Linked DNA regions of Stegostoma tigrinum. The protein of the gene in region 2 binds, or shares a complex with, the protein of the main gene of each other region. Links are inferred from orthologs where the notes say so. Each region holds a gene or a part of one and is shown on either strand. Other genes may lie near its edges.

Region 1 (11,160 bases), on a different chromosome or scaffold from region 2:
TCTTTGACATATGTGGGACAAAAAAAATTAATCATTCAGGGCATCTGTGGGCTGCTAGCAGTTGACTGGTGCACAGTTAGGCTTTAACAATGCTCCTGGTGCCATCAATCCCAGGAGGATCTTAGCTGTGGCTAATACTTCCAACCGTGATGAATGAAGAATCTGATAAGCAAGGGGTCATTGGGGAATAACAATTGGGTAATGAAGAAAGTTTGGGAATATAGAACAAAAAAACTCACTCAGGCTTGCAGAAATAAACCATCCATGAAAGTTACTAAAATTGATACTTAGCAGATTTCTACTATGATTGAGCCTATTATCTTTAATTATGGCTAGTCTTACGAATATCTATTTATCCAGTTTTAGCCGAACCATATCTCAACTGCCTCCTCTTTGACTATGATATGGACACCACCTTCTTCTTTATTCAAGGCAAATGTAAGGTGCACATTTAGTACCTCAGCCATGTGCAAATTCACTTTTTTACTCCTAGTCTACCTTACTGTTTCTTTTACAAGTCTTTTACTATTTATATACCATGTAAAATGCTTATATTCCACTTAATGTAACAGACCTTCAACCAATGAATTCTACCATTTACTATTTGCTATTTTCCATAGCTAATATCTATAATGACCACTTTCCCCAAAATGATTCCTCCTTGAGACTTGATCCACTTGATCTACGATATAAAGGTGCCAGTAGTGGTCTGGGGCGGACAAGTCAGAAGTCATATGACATCATGTTTTCATCCAACAGGTTTATTTGGAATCACGAGCTTTCAGAGAGCTGCACCTTCGTCAGGTAATGTATGAAGTATCATACTTCACCTGACGAAGGGGCAGCACTCCAAAAACTTGTAATTTCAAACAAACCTGTTGGACGATAACCTGATGTCATGTGACTTCTGCATTTTATCTATCTTATTCCATGGAACCAAAGCCAGCAATCTTTCCCCTCCAGCTGGGCTAGAAACATACTAATCTATAAAATTCTTCCAAACACACTTCAGATATATTTCCATTTTTTGCCATTGAAGCAGTCGGGAGAAAGGGCAGGGAAGTGAGGAGTGTCAGATCAGCCAGAATCTTATTGAATGGTGGACAGGCTTGAGGTGCTGAAAAGCCTTCTCCTGTTCCTATTTCTTGTGGTCTTATTCATATTGTTACTACCCCAATCAGTACTAACTTAGGAAAATTAAAGTTCCATTTTAACGACTGCAAAGGTTTTTTTTCCATAGCATGGTGACATCACGAACAATGCCAACATCTTTTGACCATCTCCAGTTGCCCTTGAACTGAATGGCTTGCAAGCCCCTTTCACATGGCAGTCAAGAGTCAATCCTGACGTGATTCTGGAGTCGCATTTAGACCAGATGAAGTTGATAGATTTCCTTCATTTAAAGGGGTTTGGGGCACCAAATAGTTTTATTTAAAACTATCAGTGATTGTTGTCATGGTCACCATTACCAAGGCTTCCAGATTTAAAAGTTAAATTTTAATTTCATCACCTGTCATGGTGGGGTTTGAACGCATGGCCTCAGCCCATGTCTCCAAGACATTAGTTTGAACTCTGGATTACTTGCCCAGTAGCATTGTCTCTACACTACAATCTTGCCAGGTCCTCATTTTGCAACACACTAAAATTTACTTGCTAAGGGTTTTCATGTCAATCTTTACCACTAATTTCTGGCTTACAGAATACATCCTGCAGTGTTCTGGTATGTCTACTGTTCCTGAACTTGAGCTGAATAAATTGTATTCCTGACCCCTCTGGTATATCCTCTCTCTCGAGCAATCATGTTGTGGTAACATGTAGTTGACTGGTAATCCAGAGCCCCAGGCTAATATTGCCAGGGTTAGGGGGTTCAAATCCCACCAAGGCAGACTGAAATCTGGATTGAATTAAAATCTAGAATAAAATGCTGACCTAATGTCAACCATGTAACCTCTATTAATTGTTGTTTAGGGATGGAAATCTACCAGTCTTACTTGGTCTGGCCTACATCTGATCCCAGACCCACAGCAATGTATTTGACTCTAACTATCCTCTAGGCAATTAGGAATGTGCAGTAAATGCTGGTCTGGCTTGCAACATCGACATCACCTGAACAAATTCTCCTTAAATCAATATTGACAGGCCTCTTCCTTTCTTTTATTCCTATTTTCCTAAATATGTTGCATCCAGGAATATTTAAATTCACTTTTTTGGAGTCAAATCTCCATCATTATATCATATTGTCACACAGATATCTGCACCTGTAGTGAAACATCCTTGTTTACAATAATCCCCACCCTCATGCACATGCATTTTTAGGGCCCACTGCAGATCCTCTTATGTTAATTCAGTTGCATGCCTTATTCCAAATAGCGTTTATGCATTACCAGTACTATCTAAAGGTTCTGTAAATGTATTTGAAGTTTGCCTTGGGGAGGGTAAATGGTGCATGCTCTTGCTGACTTGAGCTAGTTTGCATTTTCCTTCTCCTTATGGCAGTCAACCAAGCAGACAAGAGACTACAACTATTGAGAAGGTAAAGTTGACCATGAGTGATCCTAGGGTACCTTCAACAGACCACATCAGTCTCTCGTGACTGACAAAATCTAGAATGCATGTTAGAGCTGCATGCATATCATGATCTCAACTTAAACAGAATAATAACCCACTGCATGATAGAAATCCAGACAAAGAAAGAATCACAACAGAAGTTCAAAGCAAAACAACAAGGAAAAATATGCAGTACAGCTTTTCAGCGTCTGAAAAATAGAGTAATTCAGAACTGTAACTTAGTGCAAGGAGAGTCAGCTGTGCAAATGTTTGGCTTGCTCTTTGCTTTCCAAGTCCTGAGAAGCCCTTGAGTATTCCAAACATTTTGTATTTTTCTTTCAGATTTCCAGCACTTAAAAAAATTTGGAACATAAATTCAAAATCCAATCTGTCCAATGGTGTTGATTGTAAGAATGCAAGCAATATATATATAATATGTATATCAGACAGCAACATTTCAACAATTCAGGTAGTTTAATTTTCATTAACAGACAATTGTATTAATTAACTGCTTTCTAAAGGACTGTCTATTAAGTATAGTGAATATACTATAAAAGTTCACCTTCGACTATTGATAAATGTTTTGTATATTATGCCACAGTTCTCAGAGTTTAGTAATTTAGATTAAACCTCAGGATAGACACTTTAGTAGTTTGGTAATAAAAAAAAAATCAGACAATGATACATTTAATAGACTGCTGAACTGTAGACGTAAATTTATGAAGAATGATAGTTGTGAGAACTTGACATTGTCCCCATGTCTGCGTGGGTTTCCTCCTGGCATTCCGCTTTCCCCCCACAGTCCGAAGATGTGCAGGCTAGGTGGATTGGCCATGCTAAATTGCCCATGGTGTTCAGGGGTGTGCAAACCAGATGGGGGAAATGCAGGGTTACAAGGATAGACTGGGTCTGACTGGGATGATTTTCAGAGGGTTGTATAGGCCTAATGGGCTGCCCTCACACTGTCGGAATCCTATGACTTTGCTCACAATGACACTGATACATAAACTGCCTTCAGTTTGTGAAATGTGGGCAGCCAAGTTGCGTTGGGGTTGCAGTACAGCACCGCAACGGTGAATGATACCTGTGGGTATGAGCTGCAGTACTGCGCTTTTCCTCTTGGCGGTACTCTTGCATAGTGGAGGACAGCTGTGTATTGCGATAACCGCGGTCATAGTGCCGGTGGTATTTCTGATAGAAAGGTAAAGACAGCGAAGACATTGTGGGCCGTAAAATCCAAACTGTTCCGGATCGCCTGTACGAAGTCTTCAGATCTATTCATAGACAAATAAAGGCACAGTCAGGGACAGAGAATAAGGAAAAAAGTTGTTCCATTAATCTGAAAATTGATCAAACAATAATGAGTGAAGCCAGCTCCTGTAAAGAGTGAGAACTGTGCTAATTCGAAAATATAGGGGACGGGCAGTCTCCGTCGCCCAGCCTGGTCTGCTTCCTGTCCTTTTCTGGTCTGATCCATGAATGGCCGAAGCAAAGAGCATTCAAAACTCCGCAGCTAATGTTTCAAAGACATATAAAGTAACCAACAATGTGCAAGATTGCGTTTGCATAATACATTAATAAGAACGATAAATTATAATAAATACCGAGGTATTAAAATCCGTGGCATATTTCAAAATGTTTTAGTATATATGCAAACCTTTGTGTGAAATAAAATGGGATCTATTTGAATTACCCCTTAATGATTTTAAGTGACCCGATGTCGTGCTGATAATCCCTTACAATAATCACAATGTTACAATTACAGATAACACGTTCCTTAGCTGCTCCGACTTCATTGCATTAAACATCTCATTCTCTTTTTTTCCTATTTCAAAAACACCACGAAAAATATTCTGACATAATTGCAGCCAATTGGATTCTCTTCGTGTGAAAAAAAATTCTTAGTTCATTCTCATTTTTAGACTTGTTCTTGTGCAAAGACTTTGACCCTGATTAACGATCACTACCACATTTTTTCTGACATGTCTCCGCGCTGAAAGTACATTTAGAACTGCAGCGATCAGCTGCTGACTGGACCCCACTTAATAAATCAAATTACCATTTAAATCTCGGGAACACCGCACGTTATTGCTAAACGGATGCACGAACACCGAGCCCTTACCAAATGTCAAATGTTTCTTGTGAGTTTTGGTGAAATGCAGGCGATAAGGCTCTGTATATTGAATCGAGGGAGGCAGTGGGAGGGAGAAGGCTGCAGACTCGGCTCCAGGGTTCAGTACAAAAATAATGTATCCCGTCAGTGGAATGTCGAAGCCAGAGTCCCGACCTTTTATGGCCAGGAGGATTGATAAATATAGCACTCGGAGCAAGCGAAGTTAGTAATCACCAACTGTTAGTAATTCAACTACAGGTAAAAGACTTTCGGATGCAGTTGACATCAGATTTTTAAGTACCTGAGTTCAAAGTTCCAAGTCGCTGAGCTGTTTTATCCCGTCGCTTCTTAAATCTGATATATTTCACTCATATTGGACACCCTCTGTACCTATCACGGGATTGACAGTTGGGAGCTGGACCTTAGTGATTACATATATCTACATACATATACATATATATTTGCGGAGGTGTGGTTTGAAATGTATAGAGATGACTCCATACATTGCCGAATGGACCGTAAATAAACCCACAGTGAAGAAAGCACCTGTGAGGGGAACAATGGTACGAACACAACAGGCAAGCAACAAGCGGTGAATTGCACAAGCAACTGTACGCATTAATTTTAAAATTGGAAATGCACGATTAGTAGATTATTAAACAAAAAACCTTTCTGGCTCAACTTGTTTTACCTACAGCTCCCTGGCGTAAAGCATTTACAATAATTAATTGTGTACTTTAGAAATGAAACTTTCAATAATAGTGAGCTGGGAGGTGATACTCCAAGCACTGTCTTCTTCAAGTTTGCCTGTATTGTTATTGTCTTTTTCTTATCACTCTCTTGACTAGATATGATGTGTTATACAAACGTTTGTACCATCTTGTTGTTATTTAAGCCAATGATCATTCCTAGTGTAATTTCTATAATTGGCAGCTCCACCTCACTTGTGCAGATTATTTTCTTCATTTGCAGTGTATATTGTGTACATGCATGACCAACAAATATTATCCATCCTTAATTGCCCTTGAGAAGGTAGTGATTAGTTGCCTTCTTGAAAAATTGCCCATTGTAGTTAGATCCACAATCCTTTCAGGGAGGGAGTACCAGCCTTTTGACCCAGGGAATGAAGAGCCATCAATATATTGAATTGGAATTAGCCAGTGGTCCTTCTTCACCAGAAAAAAAATGGAGACTTTCCAGAAAATCTGTTGTTTTATTAGAATCTATTTCCATGTTATCACTTCCCAAGCCATCTCTATTGAGTTCAATTCTGCCATGAGATTCACCTGAATACTCAGTCATTCTCTTTGTCCAATTACTACCAAGATCATTGATGACTCCTTTATACTATTTTGCTTCCCTTAAATCCCACCATTATTTCTCATCTCAAGAGGTGCACTAGACACATCTTTCTCTTAGAACCTGATGAAGGGTCTAGGCCCGAAACATCAGCTTTTCTGCTCCTGAGATGCTGCTTGGCCTGCTGTGTTCATCCAGCTTCATGCTTTGTTATCTTGGATTCTCCAGCATCTGCAGTTCCCATTATCACTTTCTCTTAGAATGCTAACTTTCCTTCAATCTTATTTCCCAATCCATGTTCTTGAACCCATTGGCACCAAAAATTGGCTCGTTGAATCAATACAATTTGGTTGCCACACTGCCTGCAGGTTACAGAATAGGCACAAGATTATTATCAATATTAAGGCCCATCAGTTGTTGCTATAGGTTGAGATGGCTGTGAGTTTTTATTTTGCCAAATGCTGACTTTGTGGAGATATGATTGAGTTCAATGAAATAACAGAAGTATTTGTGTTGAACCAAGAGGATTCGAACCATTTCAGTTGGTAAGAAGAGTGTACTCCAGGCAATGTTACAAAAACATAGAAACTGCTTTTTGCAAACAATGGCAACATCTGGAATAAATTTCTGGTATGACTTCAAAGTCCTCATTTACTGTTCAGAGGATGTTAACTCATTTCTGACAGTGCTAACATATCTGTATATAGAAGACTTGTGGTTTCTTGATCTCCCAAGACAAGTAAAGAAGTTGGGATCCCTATAGTTTCACACTTCATAATTTTGGAATTATTAACGATCTTGCAAGTAATGCTAAAGCTACTTTTTCACCATGAATGCTTGGTACTGAAATAAGGAAGATTAAAGTTATCCTGCAGAATAATGGCTACAATGATCAGATCACTTCTCACTGTATATCATGTAAATTCATAGAACACTCTAAGATTGTTAGTCCTAAAAAGTACACAATCTAAATTACATTACCTGAGACGGGTAGGGAATCTAAAGGTGGTGAAGCAACTGGTGAAGCTAAATGTTTCATGCAGGTATTATACTGGAACAACATGGGTGGTGTTCAGAAGATGCTGTTATCAAGTCAAAAATCTGTCCTCCTGTCATACATGGTAGCTCAGTGATTATCACTGCCTCACAGTGCCAGGAGCCTGGGTTCAATTCCACCCTTGGGCGACTGTCTGTATGGAGTTTGCACATTCTCTTAGTGTCTGCATGGGTTTTCTCTGGGTGCTCTGGTTTCTTCCCACAGCCCAAAGATGTGCAGGGTAGGTAGACTGGCCATGCTAAATTTCCTATAGTGTTCAGAGAAGGGTAGTTTGGGTGGGTTATAAGGGGATGGGTCTGGGTGGGATGTCTCAGGGTCAGTGTGAGCTCGTTGGGCTGAAGGGCCTGTTTCCACACTGTAGGGATTCAATGATTTTATAAATCAATAACGTGGTATATGGATTTCAGTGCTGCTATGCATTCCAAGGATTAGTGAAACATATCAAACGGAATATACTGACAGGTATTCACCACAAGCAAAGTGCTGACTGTACCCAGCTAGCTCATGCTAAAAAACTCACAATACAATGATCATTGCTAAATAATCCTTGAGTGTGTGAAGAATTATGTTGACAATCAATTTAAGATTGTCAGTCAGGCTGTGTATGGTACATTTGTGTGTACTGGAAACTCCATATGTTAAATTGTTAGCCCATTCTGAGAAAGGGTCACCAGACTCGAAATGTTGATTCTGTTTTTTCCTTTACAGATGCTGCCAGACCTGCTGACCTTTTCCAGTAAATTTATTTTTGTTCCTGACTTACAGCATCCACAGTTCTTTTGGTTTATATCCATATGTTAATATGCAGGACTCCGTTCTTTGCAGATAGAATGAACATATGCCCACATGGTGTCTGTTTCATCTCAATAAATAGGTGACAGTCTTGGGCTCATTTCTCAGGAAAATGCCATCACCAATCAGGGTCAATCTGCTTGAAAATTTAAACAAAGCCTGACAGTTAGATGTTAGTCATCCTTATTTTCTATATTCTCTATGGTAACACTTCTAGCAAACAGATTTTGCTTGCCCACAAATGAACATTCTCCTTTCATGTAGGAAATGATTTCCTGCTTTATCACGTAACTGATATTTCTTTGAATTTTCATGATGAGTGCAAAACACAAAGTTTCAATTAAATATGTCTTTTATACAAAAATATTTAAATTCTGTACTGCCAAATGACAATTTAGTTTGACTGGTAATCAAATATTTTCATGATATTTTCCAAATGGCTGATGATCATTACTATACAAGGAGTTTTATATTGATTGGATTCTTTGAATTGCTAAAAACCCTGATAACAAAGGATGGCATTTGGACTTTTGTAAGAAAAAGTTTTAGCTTAGAAAATCACAAAGTAGAATCAGAATTGATCGAAATTAGATATAACAAATGTAACAGTAATTTATTGATCCCTAATAGTTGTTATAGATACTTTGATCAGCCTGTTCAGAGATGCTATGTCATGTCTCTGTAGCAGGTGAGACTTGAAACTGGGACTTTAGGCCCAGTGATAAGGACACCATCACTATATCACAAGAGACCTCAAAACAGTAGTTATACCATTGGATAGAAAATCAAAGCTAAGAAATTATTAGAACTTGTAGCAAAGACAATGTAACAGAGGCTGGAAAAGCTCAGCAGGTGTAGCAGCATCTCTGAAGAGAATTTAGAGTTAACGTTTCAAAACTAGTTCTGAGGAGGGGTCACCGGACCCAAAACGTTAACTCTGATTTCTCTTCACAGATGCTGCCAGACCTGGTGAGCTTTTCCAGCAATGCCCATTTTTGATTTAAAGCATCTGCAGTTCTTTTGGTTTTTATTTTGCAATGTAACAACTGTCAGAGATTTTAATATTCAAATAGATTGGATCAATCAAAATGATTAGTGTGATATGGAAGCTGAGTTTGTAGAATTTTGATTGGCGAATATAAATCACACTAAATCATTCCTTATCCATTTTTGCAACATCGGAGTTGCTTCATCATATTATTGTTTTGTGTGCATACACATACAGTTATCCCCATCTGCAATTCATACCCAGCCAGTTGACTGTAAATAGAATGAATTTATAATTTCCATTCATCTATTAATCTTTTAAATACCTCTGCATGATGAGAGCATGTTTTAACTTTGGAATGTTTATTTGCAGACACAAAGGATGGCTGTGGTGCAAACAGAAATGAGAAGCAACAACTGGAGTTTGCAAAGAATTCATTGAAGTATTATTAGCAGGAGGCAGTCGGAGGTCGATATCTTAATTATAGATTACACTCCTTTCTGAATACTTTCGTAAGTTCATTTTAAAACTCTTTAAAAATAAAAAGTCTTACTTTTAAGCCAATAACTGTTCTTTCTTAAAATACAAATGTAAAACTTTCTTGTACGTTTTAAACGTAACAGGCAAATTCTAGCATGCAGGCATTGCTATGTGTGAGTATGTTTATTCTTGATTTTTCACAATACTATTGCTTTAGGACATTTGAAGGAAAAGGAAATGCAAATTCTATCCTTTACCATTGTTGTCTGTGTATTTATTGGTACAGCTTTGAAGACACTACATTTTTTTTTATCTTTTAGAAATGCTACAATGTTCTTTATTTGAGGGGAAATTAGATCATACAAGTGTTGTTCCAAATTCTGTTCTGTTTCACAAGCACATGACCAGACAGGACAACAATCAAGTCATTGTTTTCTGTAGGGTGTTGAAAAGTTTTCTTGAACATCATAGTAATTGAGGTTGTTTTCATATGTATGAATCCAGTGCAGGAAAAGAATAAAGAATACCAAGATATGAGCGAGGCAAAAGAGTAGGTCACTCAGTTGATCTGATTTTAACCTCAACTCAACATTCCTATATGTCCAGGATAATCTTTCATCCTCTTGGTAATCGAGAATTGGTCTACCTCTGCCTTAAAAATATTTCAAGGTTCTACATTTTACTCCTTTTCGAAAAGGGAATTCCAAAGACTCTCAACCCTCTAAGCGAAAAACGTTTCGATATCTCTGTTTTAAATGGGTGACCACTTATTTTTAAACTATGACTGCTAGCTCTATATTCTCCCACAAGAGGAACCATTATTTCGACAAACACTTGGTCTAGTCCCCTCGGGATCTTCTATGTTCCAGTTAAGTCACCTCTGACGATTTTAATCTAAAATGAAGATAGCAGTAGTGAAGCGTAGTGCTATGGGTAATGGAAATCTCAGTGCAATAGAAAAGGTGAGTGTGCAAACTTAAGTATCAGACAGGACAGAGACTTTCGAGATAATAGGCATCAAGGAGTGAGATGAATGCATGGAATAGAAATTAGAATAAAAGTGAAGTCACTTCATCTGAATACATGGAGCAATAAGATTGATGAACTAGTGTCAGACTTAGAAATAAACAATATAGACCCAATCACTATTATAGAGATATAGTTAAAATCTAAGAGATTGGGAAATAAATATTTTAGTATATACAGTTTGGAAAGACAATCAGAATGGATAAGGAGGAATAATAGCCTGACCAGCAATGGATGATACATTGATAAGAAAGGATCTGCCACAGAAAACCAGGACATAGAATCAAAATAGTTGAAGATTAGGAACAGATTGGTGGGATTAGTTTAGAAGTCTCAGGCAAGAGTTGGACCACTGAACAGAGCATTGAAACAAGAAATGTTTGGAGTTTGTGACAAAGGCAGTGAAATAGTTATGGGGGACTTTAATCTTCATAATCTTCAAATTGGTAAAAAAAGTGATTTGTGAGAGGAGCTGGTATATATTTGTTACAAAGAACCTGGAGAAATGTGTTGTGGAATCAATTAGGGATAAAGCTATTTTCGGTCTAGTATTGTGCAATGAGGCGGAATTAAATATTAATACTAAAGTCAAAGATCCACTGGAAAAAGGTGCTCATTGTGCAACACATTTAGCTTGAACATCTTCATTTACAAACAATGGCCTTAAATTACATAAATTACTGGATCTGATTTATTGGTAAGTAGCCTTAAAAGTATTGCAGTAGATGAACAGGGGAAACATTCAAAGCAATAATTCAAATTGTTAAACCAAATGCATTCCATTGAAAATCAAAAACCTGTCAACAAACAGCTATCTGTGCCTTATTAAGTTAGCGCCAGCATTAGGTGCAGAGGCTT
Region 2 (11,733 bases):
CTGAATGGCCTGATGTCTAGTTTCAGAATGGAAAGTGAATGGACTGTTGGCTATTTGATTAAATGTTTACCAACTATCCATCAAATATTCCTTTCTTTCCAAAACTCAAATATTTTCATAATTAATAAACAATGAATGCACTGATACAGCTTCTTTATTTATTTCATTACTGTCCCTTGGATTTGTCTTTTGGATTCTGATTAATTTTCAGTTCCTTGAGAGTCCAAGGCCACCCTATCATTATGCTGAGGGTGAGGAAGCAAAGTCTAAATGCAGGCACATTCTTCGGTGATAATGTTTGGGATAGTCTCGTATTTAAAAGTGTAGCCACTGTCGGACGTTGTCCTCACTCTCAGGGGCTTCATGGTCCCTGGGACTGAGGTGCAGCAAACCTTGAGGCCGAGGCTGGAGGTGAGCCGGTTGGAGTTGGAGCAGGTCCCATTGCAGTAGTAGAAGGTGAAGACACTGGGTTGAACAATCCAGTTGCCCCATCCCAATTCTTCAAAGGAGATGTTAACGGCAGAACGATGGCAATCGTCATGAATAAGTTCAGGAGATGGTGGCCTCTGAAGGAGACTGACATATGCGGGGGACCAAGGGACTGTTGAGCGTCTAGATCGAGAAGGACCCAAGTTCTTCGCTGTGGACAGGATGAAAGGCACATTCACTTGGTCCCTCACACACTGGCAATTGGCACACTTGACCTGAAGGAAAAGTATCTTGTGCGAGATATATGAGAGGAAGGACTGGGAGATATGAAAGATTACCCACTGTCCTTCAACTGCCATGCTCTCTGCTGCCTGGGCAAAGCTGCCAGGTTCAGTGAGGAAGTACAGTTTAGTGGGGGGGTCAGCACCTGGGGGTAACTGGACCCCGGCGTAAAACCAGAACTCAGCAGAGGTCACCTGGCTGCGACGGGAGTGCAGGGATGGCTGAAAGACGTAACTGTAATTGCCCACGAATCCTTCATACTGTAAATCACACGGTATGTCTGAAAATAAAAGTATGGGGGGGGAAGGGAAGATTGAGCGGAATGAGTTATAAAATAGCCAAAACTTGTGTAAAACCGAATGATTTGCATTCACTTGTTTTGCTTCCATGCTTGTTTATTGCAAATATCAAACATTGTTTGACAGTTCCCGTTCTCATTTGATTATGTCTTCAAAATAAACCACCCAACCACACACCCAAATTTTGTGCCACCTGCTTAATCCTATTATCTTAACCACATCTCGTGCTGTTTATGTGCGTATGGGCTCCCAGGTCAGTGGGTAACCCACTCACTTCTCACTCCAGCAGTGGTGGTCTTAAGATCCCGTTTAGAGACTGAGAATCTAGTCTGGCATTGGAGCACTGAGGGACTGCCACACTGTTTGGAGGCACTTTCTTTCAGATGATATGTCAAGCTTATCCACTTTCTAAGTGGAGGCCATAAAGGATTTCACAGCATCTGTTTCCAAGAAGAGCAGGGAGCAGTTCACACCAGTCTCCTGGGAAAATGTGTACTTAAACAGAAATGGACAACACCTGGAAATTATTACCCAGAAGGCATATGAGAGTCAATCATGTTGCTGTGGATGTGGAGTCAGATAGAGACCAGACGGAGTAAGGACAATAGATTTCGTTCACTAAAGGGAAGCGGTTGATGGGTTTTTAAACGGTACATAGTTTTCATTAGGCTATCTTCTCTCAACTGAATTCATATTTCACCATCTGCTATGGGATTTGACCCCTTTAGTTTGGGGTTCTGATTTACTAATGTCTGGTGACATTACATTATATCACTGCCTCCGTTCTATTATGATCACTACAAATTGGCTATCAGGTCATCGTTACACTGCTGTCTGTGGGAGCTTCCTGTAGAAATCGGATGTTGTACTGCATGTATTACGACACTTCAAAAAGTACTTAATTGGTTGAAAAGTACCTTAGGTATGGCTGACATTGTGAAACAGTGTGGCCAGGATTTATCATCCTGACATACAAAATGATACTATTTTTACGTATTTGTTTTATGAAAGCCAAAAGAAAGCTTACTGGTTATGGGGAATGAGATGACCTCCGATTTATCGTTGTCCGTTTTGGGTTTGTGATGTCCAATCCAGCGGGTGATGCGCCGTGTCAGTCTGCGGTTTTTGAACGGATTATGCAGCTCCTGGCTGGTTACATTGCAGTTCTCTGGGGGTTCAGTCAGCCCCAGGCTCCTCAGAATTTTCTCCTGCACCTTTGCAATGATTGCATCCTCACTCATGCTGTGCATTGAGCAGGCACTTTCCAGCATTGGGGCCTGGAACATCAGAATCAGTAGCACCATCCACAACAAGCTCAGGAATAAAGGGACACCAGGGAGTTTGTGGGAAGCATGAAGCTGGAACATTGGGACAGAGGGGGACAGAGTGAGGGGGAGAATGAATAAGATACGTACACAGAGTAGAAGATAAACACTAAACAAGATAACTAACTTGAAAGCGATTACGAGGGAGGTTCTAAGACAATGCAGGAATTTAATGATTCAGATACAGAATGATGAGGGTAAATGAGAGAATGGGATCCAATGACAGAGATAGAAACACAGATACAGTAAAAACAGGAATGCAGGAAGACCGAAAGAATAAAATCAAAGTGTTTGAGACAGATAGATTGTCAGACAGCTAGAGTGGAATTGAGTCAGTGTAACCGGGGAGGAAGACAAATGCACACTGACACAGACTCACACCACACACAGGCACAGAGACACATGCACAGATAAATGCACACGGACAGATATATACACACAGACACAGTCACCCACAGATACATGCACACAGATACACCCACATATAGAGACAAAAGGAGAGATGGACACAAACACAGTGGACAGAAAGAAAGAGCCAGCAATACAGAATATGAGACAAAACAAGATACTGATGCAAGAGGAGAATGTGAGTGAGAGGGACTGAGAGACTCAGACAGAGGATAAGACTGAAAGATTGAAACTGGCAAAAAGCAAAAGAGGCACAAAGGCACTGAAGAAAATGCAATACAAGCAACAGGCACTCAGAGGAACAGAGTTAACACAATAGGGTTAGTTAGAAAGAGAATACACCATTACAGACAGAGTCGAGGAGAGACTCAGTTCGACAAGGAGAGAATGATACTAATGTCCTTTTAGTGTGATCTTCAAAACTCCTACAATCCCAGCAGACACACCCTCAAATGCTTGCTTGGAGGGCAGGTCGAGCTGACAGACTTGCCATTCACCCTGATTGTGCTGATTGGTGACCTGCCCCCTGACCCTGCTGCTCTTTGTCTCTCTCTCTCTCTCTCTCTCTCTCTCTCTCTCTCTCTCTCTCTCTCCCCACTGAGCTCTTCAGTGTGAATGCGCAGAGTTGCCACTATCAGAACTCTGATAGTCTGGTGACATTGGGCACGGCCTCTAAGACTGTTGTTAGCTGAATGACGTGGGTCTCCTGATTTGAATTATCTTCTCACAGAAGCACAAAACTCTAGCTGTAGAATATCATATTTTGGCCTCAAACAGCAGCCAATGGCTGAAATTCAAAGAAAGACTGATCTCAGGGACAGGGAGAGGTCAAACCAAATCTTCACTGATGCGAAAACACCTCCAAAGGAGTTCTCAGGAGGGATGGGAAGCTGTGATTCTCTTTTAGCCATGGATCTGAAGCCTGTCAGAGTTTGACCATTCCCTCAGTATACAATGTGGAGATTGCAGTGTAGTGAGATTTAGCCCACATTGATACAACAACTACCTGCATTTCTGTAGTGCCTTTCATGACCTCAGTAAATCCCAAGGTGTTTTGCGGCTGCTCGCAGTATTTGTGAGTAGTCACTCTTGTAATGTGGGAAAGTTGGGGCCGCAATGTTGATTGAGGGATAAATATTGGCCAGGACACCAAGGAAAGCTCTCCTGCTTTTTAAAATTGGGACTTTTGTCATTCTTGATTGTGCAGCGATGTTCCAGTGATAATCAAAAGCCTGGTCAAATACTCTGGGATAAATTGGTTCAAACCCCACACTCAACTGGTAAACCCAATTCAAATTAAGCTTGAATTGAAATATAATCTCAGTAATGGTGTCTACAAAGCTATCATTGCAGTAAAAACCTATCTGGTTCATTAATGCCCTTTAGGCAAGGAACCCTCCGGCCTACATGTGACTCCTGATCCTATGGTGACATGGTGGCTTCAACTGACTTCTGAAGTGACCAAACAAGGGAATGGCAACTGATGTAACCGGTTCTTCCTCTCACCCATCCCTTCCTCCCACCCCAAGCCGCACCCCCAGCTACCTACTAACCTCATCCCACCTCTTTGACCTGTCCGTCTTCCCTGGACTGACCTATCCCCTCCCTACCTCCCCACCTACACCCTCTCCACCTATCTTCTTTACTCTCCATCTTCGGTCCGCCTCCCCCTCTCTCCCTATTTATTCCAGTTCCCTCCCCCCATCCCCCTCTCTGATGAAGGGTCTAGGCCCGAAACGTCAGCTTTTGTGCTCCTGAGATGCTGCTTGGCCTGCTGTGTTCATCCAGCCTCACATTTTATTATCCTTGCATGTAAAGCTGCATTTAAAATATGGCCTCATGTTATCTCCCAGAGGCTAGTGAATGCCTGAAATTCCCTATCCTAATGAACGGTGGAGAATTGATCAAGTAAAGTATTTGATGAGGAGGTAGACTGATTCTTGAAACATCAGGGAAGTGAGGGATATGAGGAGATGGCACAAAAGAGTAGTTGAGGCCGGGGCAGATCAGCTGTGATCTTGTTGAATGGGGAAAGAGGCTTGAGGCCTTGACCTATCTCTGTGGCTATTTCTTATGTCCTCCCGTTCAATTGGGCTTTTTAACCAGCATGAAATGTGATGCATCTCTTACTGCAGTGTGATCCTATAGGTAGCACACATTTTGGTCCCTGCACAGGCTGAGTTCTCCCCCAAAGAAACTGCTGTTGCCCGACTGGATATCGAGGCTGCAACATTAAAGAAATCTTTAGTAAGTGAGCAATGCCACAGAATGCCAAACGACATTTCCAGGGAACTAACGTCATGAGAGGGATCAGCACTTTGCTGATAAATGTCTTTATATATAGAGAGAACTGAACTCAATGTCATTCTCCAATCACTCGTTACTGTCACTCGGATTGCACCACATGCAGAGGGAACATTTCATCTAAATGCAGGGTCTCTCCCTGAGAGGTACCTCACTGCCAGTATTTAATGAGATGAGGGTTGGAGATACAAACCATCCACAGTGCAGAACAGCAGTGAGACTTGGGTAAGGTGTGTCAGACGTGGTGGAACTAGGAGAAAAAGCTTTGTATTTGTATAGCACATTAACATAACCTCAGTGCATCCGAAAACACCTTCTGGCCAATGATATGCAATCATTGTTGCAGGAAACATGCTAGTCCAATTTCTGCACAGCAACATTCCACAATCAACACAGTGCTAAATGCCTGTGGCACATAAATCCAAGCTGTGGCACTGGAGGGTCAGAGGCGGTATACCAGTCTGATACCCAGAATGCGCAGGTTGTCTTATGATAAAAGGTTGCAGAGGCTAGCTTTATTCCCACTGGCGTTCCGAAGAATTAGGAGTGACTTGATTGAGGTGTATCGGATCCTAAATGGTTATTACCAGGTGAACATGGAAAAGATGTTTCCTCTTGCTGGCCAGTCCAGAACTAGGGGGTTCTAATTAAAAATTAGGAGTCACCTTTTTAGCTCAGAGTCAAGGAGAATTTCTTTTCTTGGAGGGTTGTGTGACTTTAGAACTTGGGGTCAATTAATATTTTTAAGACCGAGATGAGTAGCTTTGTGTTTGGCAGTGGAATCAAAGGAGTGGATGGGAAGGAGGAATTTGAAACGAACAGTTCAATCACGATCTTATTGAATGATAAGCAGGTTCAAGGTGTGGAATGATCCATTTCTGCTCCTATGCTGTATGCCCGCTTGTAACATTTCTACCACAGTACAGAAAGAGTGCTGCACATAAGGCTTGCTCTCGCAGATGGCACTGCTCTAAAGAAAAGCAGGATAGTTGTCCCCAGTGTCCTAGCCAATAGTTATCCCTCAAATTCCAAAAAAGCTGCACAAATGCTCTGTCCATTACAATATTGCTCTGTCCAAACTGATCACAATATTCCTTACGTTTCAACAGTGACTGCACTTCAGGAGTACTTAAATCATTGTAAAGCACATTCAGACTTTCCAAAATAGTGATAGGTGCTATATAAATGCAAAGACCGCTTTCTTGCTCGAACTCGTAGGAGCAGTGTATGAGCCAAGTCCAATTAGCTCTTCCACACTTCTGTTCAGCTGCTTCGTATCAAATGACAAGGCAGTTTCAATCTTTCTAATTCTGTCGGCTGTCCCACCATCCCCCTCCACCATCCACTCTCACCCCCTCCCAGACATTGCTTGTCTAAGACAGCAGAGATCCTTCTGTAATGTCACTTAAACGTAGACACGTAACACCTCGTTGGCTTCAGCTAATTCTGAATCTCTGCCACAGCACAGATAAGGGTCTTCGAATTCCTGAACGGGATTTGCAGTCACTGATCCTCCTACTTAGTCTGCAGCCCCACACTCCCCCAACCAGTCAACTTTCTCTTGGCAGGCTGGCCAGTCAATGGATGGTGGCCTCCTTTGCTCCCTGCATCCCCCTCCCACTATGGTCTCAACCATCCACACACTGCCAACCACCAGTCCAGCTCCTATTGGTGTTGTCGGGTCATGATGGCAGGGGTTATTTTGGGAGAGGAGACAGCTGGATAAGCTCCTTCAAACAATGAGCTGCAGAGCAGAGCAGGAGGGAGTAAGAGACTGGAGCATGGTTGAGGGGAACGGGGGAGGGTAGTTGCACACGGAATTTAAAACAGTCTTGCTGCTGAAAGGGCCTCCCCTAAGGACGGTCCGCTGTTAACAATGAGACTCATGGAGACGACATCTTAATGAATAAGCTGCAAAGAGGAGTGTAGGGATCTCAGAGGAAGAAACACTTGACAGGCAAACTGCTTCCCATCCCTGCCCTGAATTCTCAGCTAACTGGCTGGTAAGTAAATGATCAAACCCATGCCATTCTGTGTTGTAAAAAGAAGTGGTTGTGAAGTGCTTTCAGAGTATTAACAATCTTAAAGAGATATCAGATCATGTCAAGAGTCTGTGTAATGGAATGCAGCAGGTTGGGCAGGGATCATATGATAGTATTAACTCCCAGTCAAGCCACATGTTGAGTGCTCTTAGAGGTTTTCTGTAGTCCACTCTGTCCTAATATAGCCTGGGATCTTCTCCGTCTCCTTATCCTCTGACAACCCCTCAGGTATGAGGGCGATTTGAAATTAATATATTCAAAAAAGTTTGTTTTTTTAAGAGGCAAAAATAGAAACTGCTGGAAAAGCTCAGCAGGTCTGGCAGCATCTGTAGACAGACAGCAGAGTTAACATTTCGGAAAGGATTGACCCTTCCTCAGAGGGGTTCCTGTGGAAGGGTCACTCGACCTGAAATGTTAAATCTGATTTCTCTCCACACCTGCTGAGCTTTTCCAGCAATTTCTATTTTTGTCTCTGATTTACAACATCTGCAGTTCTTTCAGTTTTGATATTTTTTAGATTTTAAAGGCAACAAGAGACATGGGGAAAAGGCATGAACATGGCTCCAAGGGCCACATGGCCTGCTCCTGCCCCTGGTTTGTATGTTTTTCTAGCTTGTTGCCAGCCAGGGTTCGATGGCTTTTGGAATGACTGAAATGACTGATGCTTGATCTGCAGCTTCTGCTGCATTTAGAAGGTTGGGTTGATGGGTGATTATGCGTTTATGCCGTTCCCTCTGACAGCTCATCTTCAGCTCTGCACCTTTCCAATGGAGTCTCCCAATGTCTTAGGCATCTTCCAGAGCAAACCTTCTCCCTTTTGGTTGTTCACAAGCTAGGGTATCCATGAGTCATCAGGGGATGTTTGATCTCTTCAGGGAGGCCTTGAATTGAGCAGTCTCATTTGGAATCTGGGGTCAGGCTCACGAGTAACATGTACTGCCCAGTGATGCTGGTTTTGAAAGACTGGCCTCTCAACGGCAGGAGTAGGTATTGATGTTAGTCATCCTTTCCTGTTCTTGGATTTGGAGGATCTTGTGCAGGTGACACTGCTGGGACCTCTTTAGTGATTCAATGTGTTCAGCGTAGGCTCTCCAATTCTGGAATATTATTAGTGCACAGACAGGGAAGGGTTCCATTCGTGTGTTTGTGGAATTTTCATGACAGTTATGATTCAGACTCTGAAACATCTGTTTCCAGGGAATAAAGTGACTCAATTGGATCAGATGTCAGTAGGCAGTATGTTTAGGACATTGAGGTCACAGTATAATAAGAGTTTGATTAAGCATAGAGAGGATCAAGACAAAATCAAGGGTAAAATACTTCACTGGAGTAAGGCCAATTTCAGAGAGTAGGGAATGGATCTGTCTTGAGTAAACTTGAATGAACGATGAGCATGCAGAACTGAAACTAGACACTGTGTTGCCTTTATACAGGAACCAGTTCAGGTGCAGGCCTGTAGCAATGTGGTTGACTCTTTAACTTCCCTTTGAAACAATCAATCAGGCACAAGTCAGGAGCGTGGAGGAATACTTTCCAGTTGCCTGACTTAGTGCAGCTCCAAAAACACTTAAGAAGCTTGATCCAGGACAAAGCAGCCTGCTTGATTGGCACTACATGCACACACATCCATTCCCTCCATCACAGATGTTCATAGCAGCAGTGTGCATAATTGACAAGATGCATTGCAGATATTCATCAAGGCTCTTCAGCCAACACCTTCCAAACTCATGTTCACTACTGTCTGGGAGGACCATCATCTGCAATTTCCCCTCTAAGTCACTCATAATCCTGACTAGGAAATATACTGCCATTCCTTCTAAACCCTGGAACTCCGTCTCGGCAGAACAAATACTGCAACGATTGGAGCAAGTAGCTCACTATCACCTTCTCAATAGTAATTACAGACTGGCCAGCCAGAAATTAGCACAGCCCACCATTTTTTTTTAAAAAAGCCTACTGAAGTCAACAGCAATTCTGAATTGACTGTATTTCTGCTTGACATGGAGAACATATGTGATAGAAAACAAGCAAGGTCATCCCCAAAGGAACCGATTTCTGTTTGGCAGTTTTTGAATAGATCCTTTTAGTGAAGCGGATCTCTGGGACTGCAGCAGAGACTGTGTTACCGTGTGCATTATACAATTGGAAAGAGAATGGAAGGGAGAAGTGACAGGGGTCTTTTGACTGCACAGAGGGCAGTCAGCAATGTCAATGTCTCTCGACTATTAAGCTAAAATCAGAAGCTAATTTTCTCAGGGTATAGGTTCAAACCCCACCATGGCAGATGGTGAAATGTGAATTCAATAAAAATCTGTAATTAAAAGCCTATTAGTGACTATATTGAAAAGAATCAATCAGCTTCATTACTTGTCCTTTAGGAAAGAAAATCTGCTGTCCTTACATGCACTTTTTAGAGTCATACGGCATGCAAACAGACCCATTGGTTCAACCAGTCCATGCAGAGCATAATACCAAACTAAACTAGTCCTGCATGTCTGCTCCTGGCCCATATCCCTCCCAATATTTCCTATGCACATACTTATCCAAATGTCTTTTAAACATTGTAATTGAACCCTCATCCATCACTTACTCAGAAATTCATCCCACACATAAACCATCCTCTGCATTAAACATTTGCCCCTCATGTCTCTTTTAAATCTCTCTCCTCTCACCTTAAAAATGTGTCCCTTTGTCTTGAAATTCCACATCCTGGGAAAAGACAACTAACATTAACCTTATCTGGACAACTTACTTTTTTTTTATAAACTTCTAGAAGGTCACTTCTCAAATCGTAGAATCCCTACTGTGTGGAAACAGGCCACTCCCCTACCACCACTTAACAGCTTCCCATCCAGACCCATTCCCCTACCTCTGCATTTTCCCATGTCTACCCACTTAACCCAAACATCCCTGGACACTACAGCATAGCCAATCCACCTACCCTGCGCATCTTTGAACTGTGGGAGGAAGCCAGAAGGACACCCATGCAGACACAGGGAGTATGTGCAAACTCCACACAGACAGTCATTTGATGGTGGAATTGAACCCAGGTCCCTGGTACTGTGAGGCAGCAGTGCTCACCACTGAGCCACCGTGCCGCCAACCTCCTAGGGCCCAGGCTATCCAGCCTTTCTTTATAACTCATACCTGGCAATATTTTGGAAGATCTCTTTTGAGCCCTCTCTAGCTTAATAATATTCTTCCTATAACTAGGCGACCAGAACTGGACACAGTGTTCCAGAAGAAGCTGTACAACCTCAACATGACTTCCCAAAACCTATTTTCAGAGGACTGAACAATGAAGGCAAGCATGCACTAGGCCCGAAACATCAGCTTTCCTGCTCCTAAGATGCTGCTTGGCCTGCTGTGTTCATCCAGCTGTACACCTGGTTATCTTGCATGCTAAACACCTTTTTGACCACCCTGTCTATATCTGATGCAAACTTCAAAGAATTATGTACCTGAACCCCTGGGTCCCTCTTTTCTACTTGGTCTGATCTATACGTGACTGCAGAAACACAGCAATGTGGTTGACTTTTACTTTTAATGGTCAATAAATGCTGGCCTAGCTACACCGCAGAAATGAATTAAAAATACAATTCTTGCTGTTTCAATCTTTCCAGAGGCCATCAAGCCACTTAAAGGGACAGGAAAAGAATTTGAGGATTCTGTGACCGTCAGTACTTGCACAGACTAAATGAGAAAAGGTTTGTGCCTGCGCATCATTACAGTATTAATCATGTCCGGGAACTTAAGATGAACAATGGCTGCTGCTAAAGGTGATTTAAGGGCCAATTCTTTGAGTGGGAAATAAGAGGCCATTCAACCCATCGTGCCTGCACAGGTCCTATTACCTACTGCCAATCTTCCACCTCTTCCCCAGATTGCAACACCATTTCTATTCAAATAATCATCCGAAGCCCCTCTCGAATGCTTCAGTTGAAGCTGTCTCCACCACATTTCCAGGTCATGCATTCCAGACCCTAACTACTTGCTGTGTGAGAAAGTCTTTTCTCATATAACCCTTGCTTCATTTGCACATCACTTTGAATCTATGCTTTCTCATTCCTGTTCCTCTTCTGAGTAGCAGCAACTCTCCCTAACAACTCCGTCCAGTCCATTCACGATTTTGAAAACCTCGATCAGATCTTCTCTCAGCTTTCTTCTCTCCAAGGAGAACGAACCTAATTACTTCAATCTCTCCTGATTGACAGCCCTGTGATAGTATCGCAAGGCTATTAATCCAGAGACCCAGGAAACCTTCTGGGAACAGGGTTCAAATCCCAACGTGGTAGATGCTGGAATTTGAATTCAATAATAATCTAGAATTAAGAGTTTAATGATGGTCATGAAACCATTGGTGATTTTCAGGAAAAACCATCTGGTTCACTAATGCCCTTTAGGGAAGAAATCTGCCATCCTCATCTGGTCTGGTTTGCATGTGACACCAGACCCACAGCCAAAGTGGCTAACTCTCAACTCAATTAGGGATGGGCAATGAATGCTAGTCCACCCAGAAATGACTACATCTCATTAAAGAATAAAAAAAATTACTGAAATTGCTCATTCCTGTCACTAATGATGTAAGCTTGAACGGAGGGTGATTAATCAGTAAGTTTGTGGGTTATATGAAAATTAGTAGGG

The links.
Region 1: the proteins of obsl1a (region 2) and myom1b are in contact, whole or in part, in a crystal structure (PDB 5FM5), measured with the Homo sapiens proteins. The link is inferred for Stegostoma tigrinum from reciprocal best matches to the Homo sapiens genes OBSL1 and MYOM1. Residues at the interface, in NP_056126.1 of Homo sapiens: Pro243, Lys253, Phe255, Val257, Asn258, Gly260, Lys261, His262, Ala263, Lys264, Phe265, Arg266, Cys267, Tyr268, Val269, Met270, Gly271, Lys272, Pro273, Pro275, Trp279, Lys305, Tyr308, Tyr317, Cys319, Ala321, Arg322, Asn323, Ser324, Ala325; in NP_003794.3 of Homo sapiens: Arg616, Pro617, Ser618, Ala619, Pro620, Trp621, Thr622, Gly623, Gln624, Ile625, Ile626, Val627, Thr628, Glu629, Glu630, Glu631, Pro632.

The regions. Positions count from the first base shown.
Region 1 is NC_081358.1:81,827,332-81,838,491, forward strand, and holds the start of myom1b (M-protein, striated muscle), read right to left. Parts: upstream 5,069-11,160; 5' UTR 4,962-5,068; exon of another isoform or gene 4,931-4,961; intron 4,815-4,930; exon of another isoform or gene 4,607-4,814; intron 3,822-4,606; 5' UTR 3,769-3,821; coding exon 3,632-3,768; intron 1-3,631. UniProt on the Homo sapiens protein: Major component of the vertebrate myofibrillar M band. Binds myosin, titin, and light meromyosin. This binding is dose dependent.
Region 2 is NC_081360.1:102,224,080-102,235,812, forward strand, and holds the start of obsl1a (obscurin-like protein 1a), read left to right. Parts: upstream 1-6,729; 5' UTR 6,730-7,050; intron 7,051-10,712; exon of another isoform or gene 10,713-10,868; intron 10,869-11,733. Other genes in the region: inha (inhibin alpha chain), read right to left, coding at 267-991, 2,038-2,377. UniProt on the Homo sapiens protein: Core component of the 3M complex, a complex required to regulate microtubule dynamics and genome integrity. It is unclear how the 3M complex regulates microtubules, it could act by controlling the level of a microtubule stabilizer.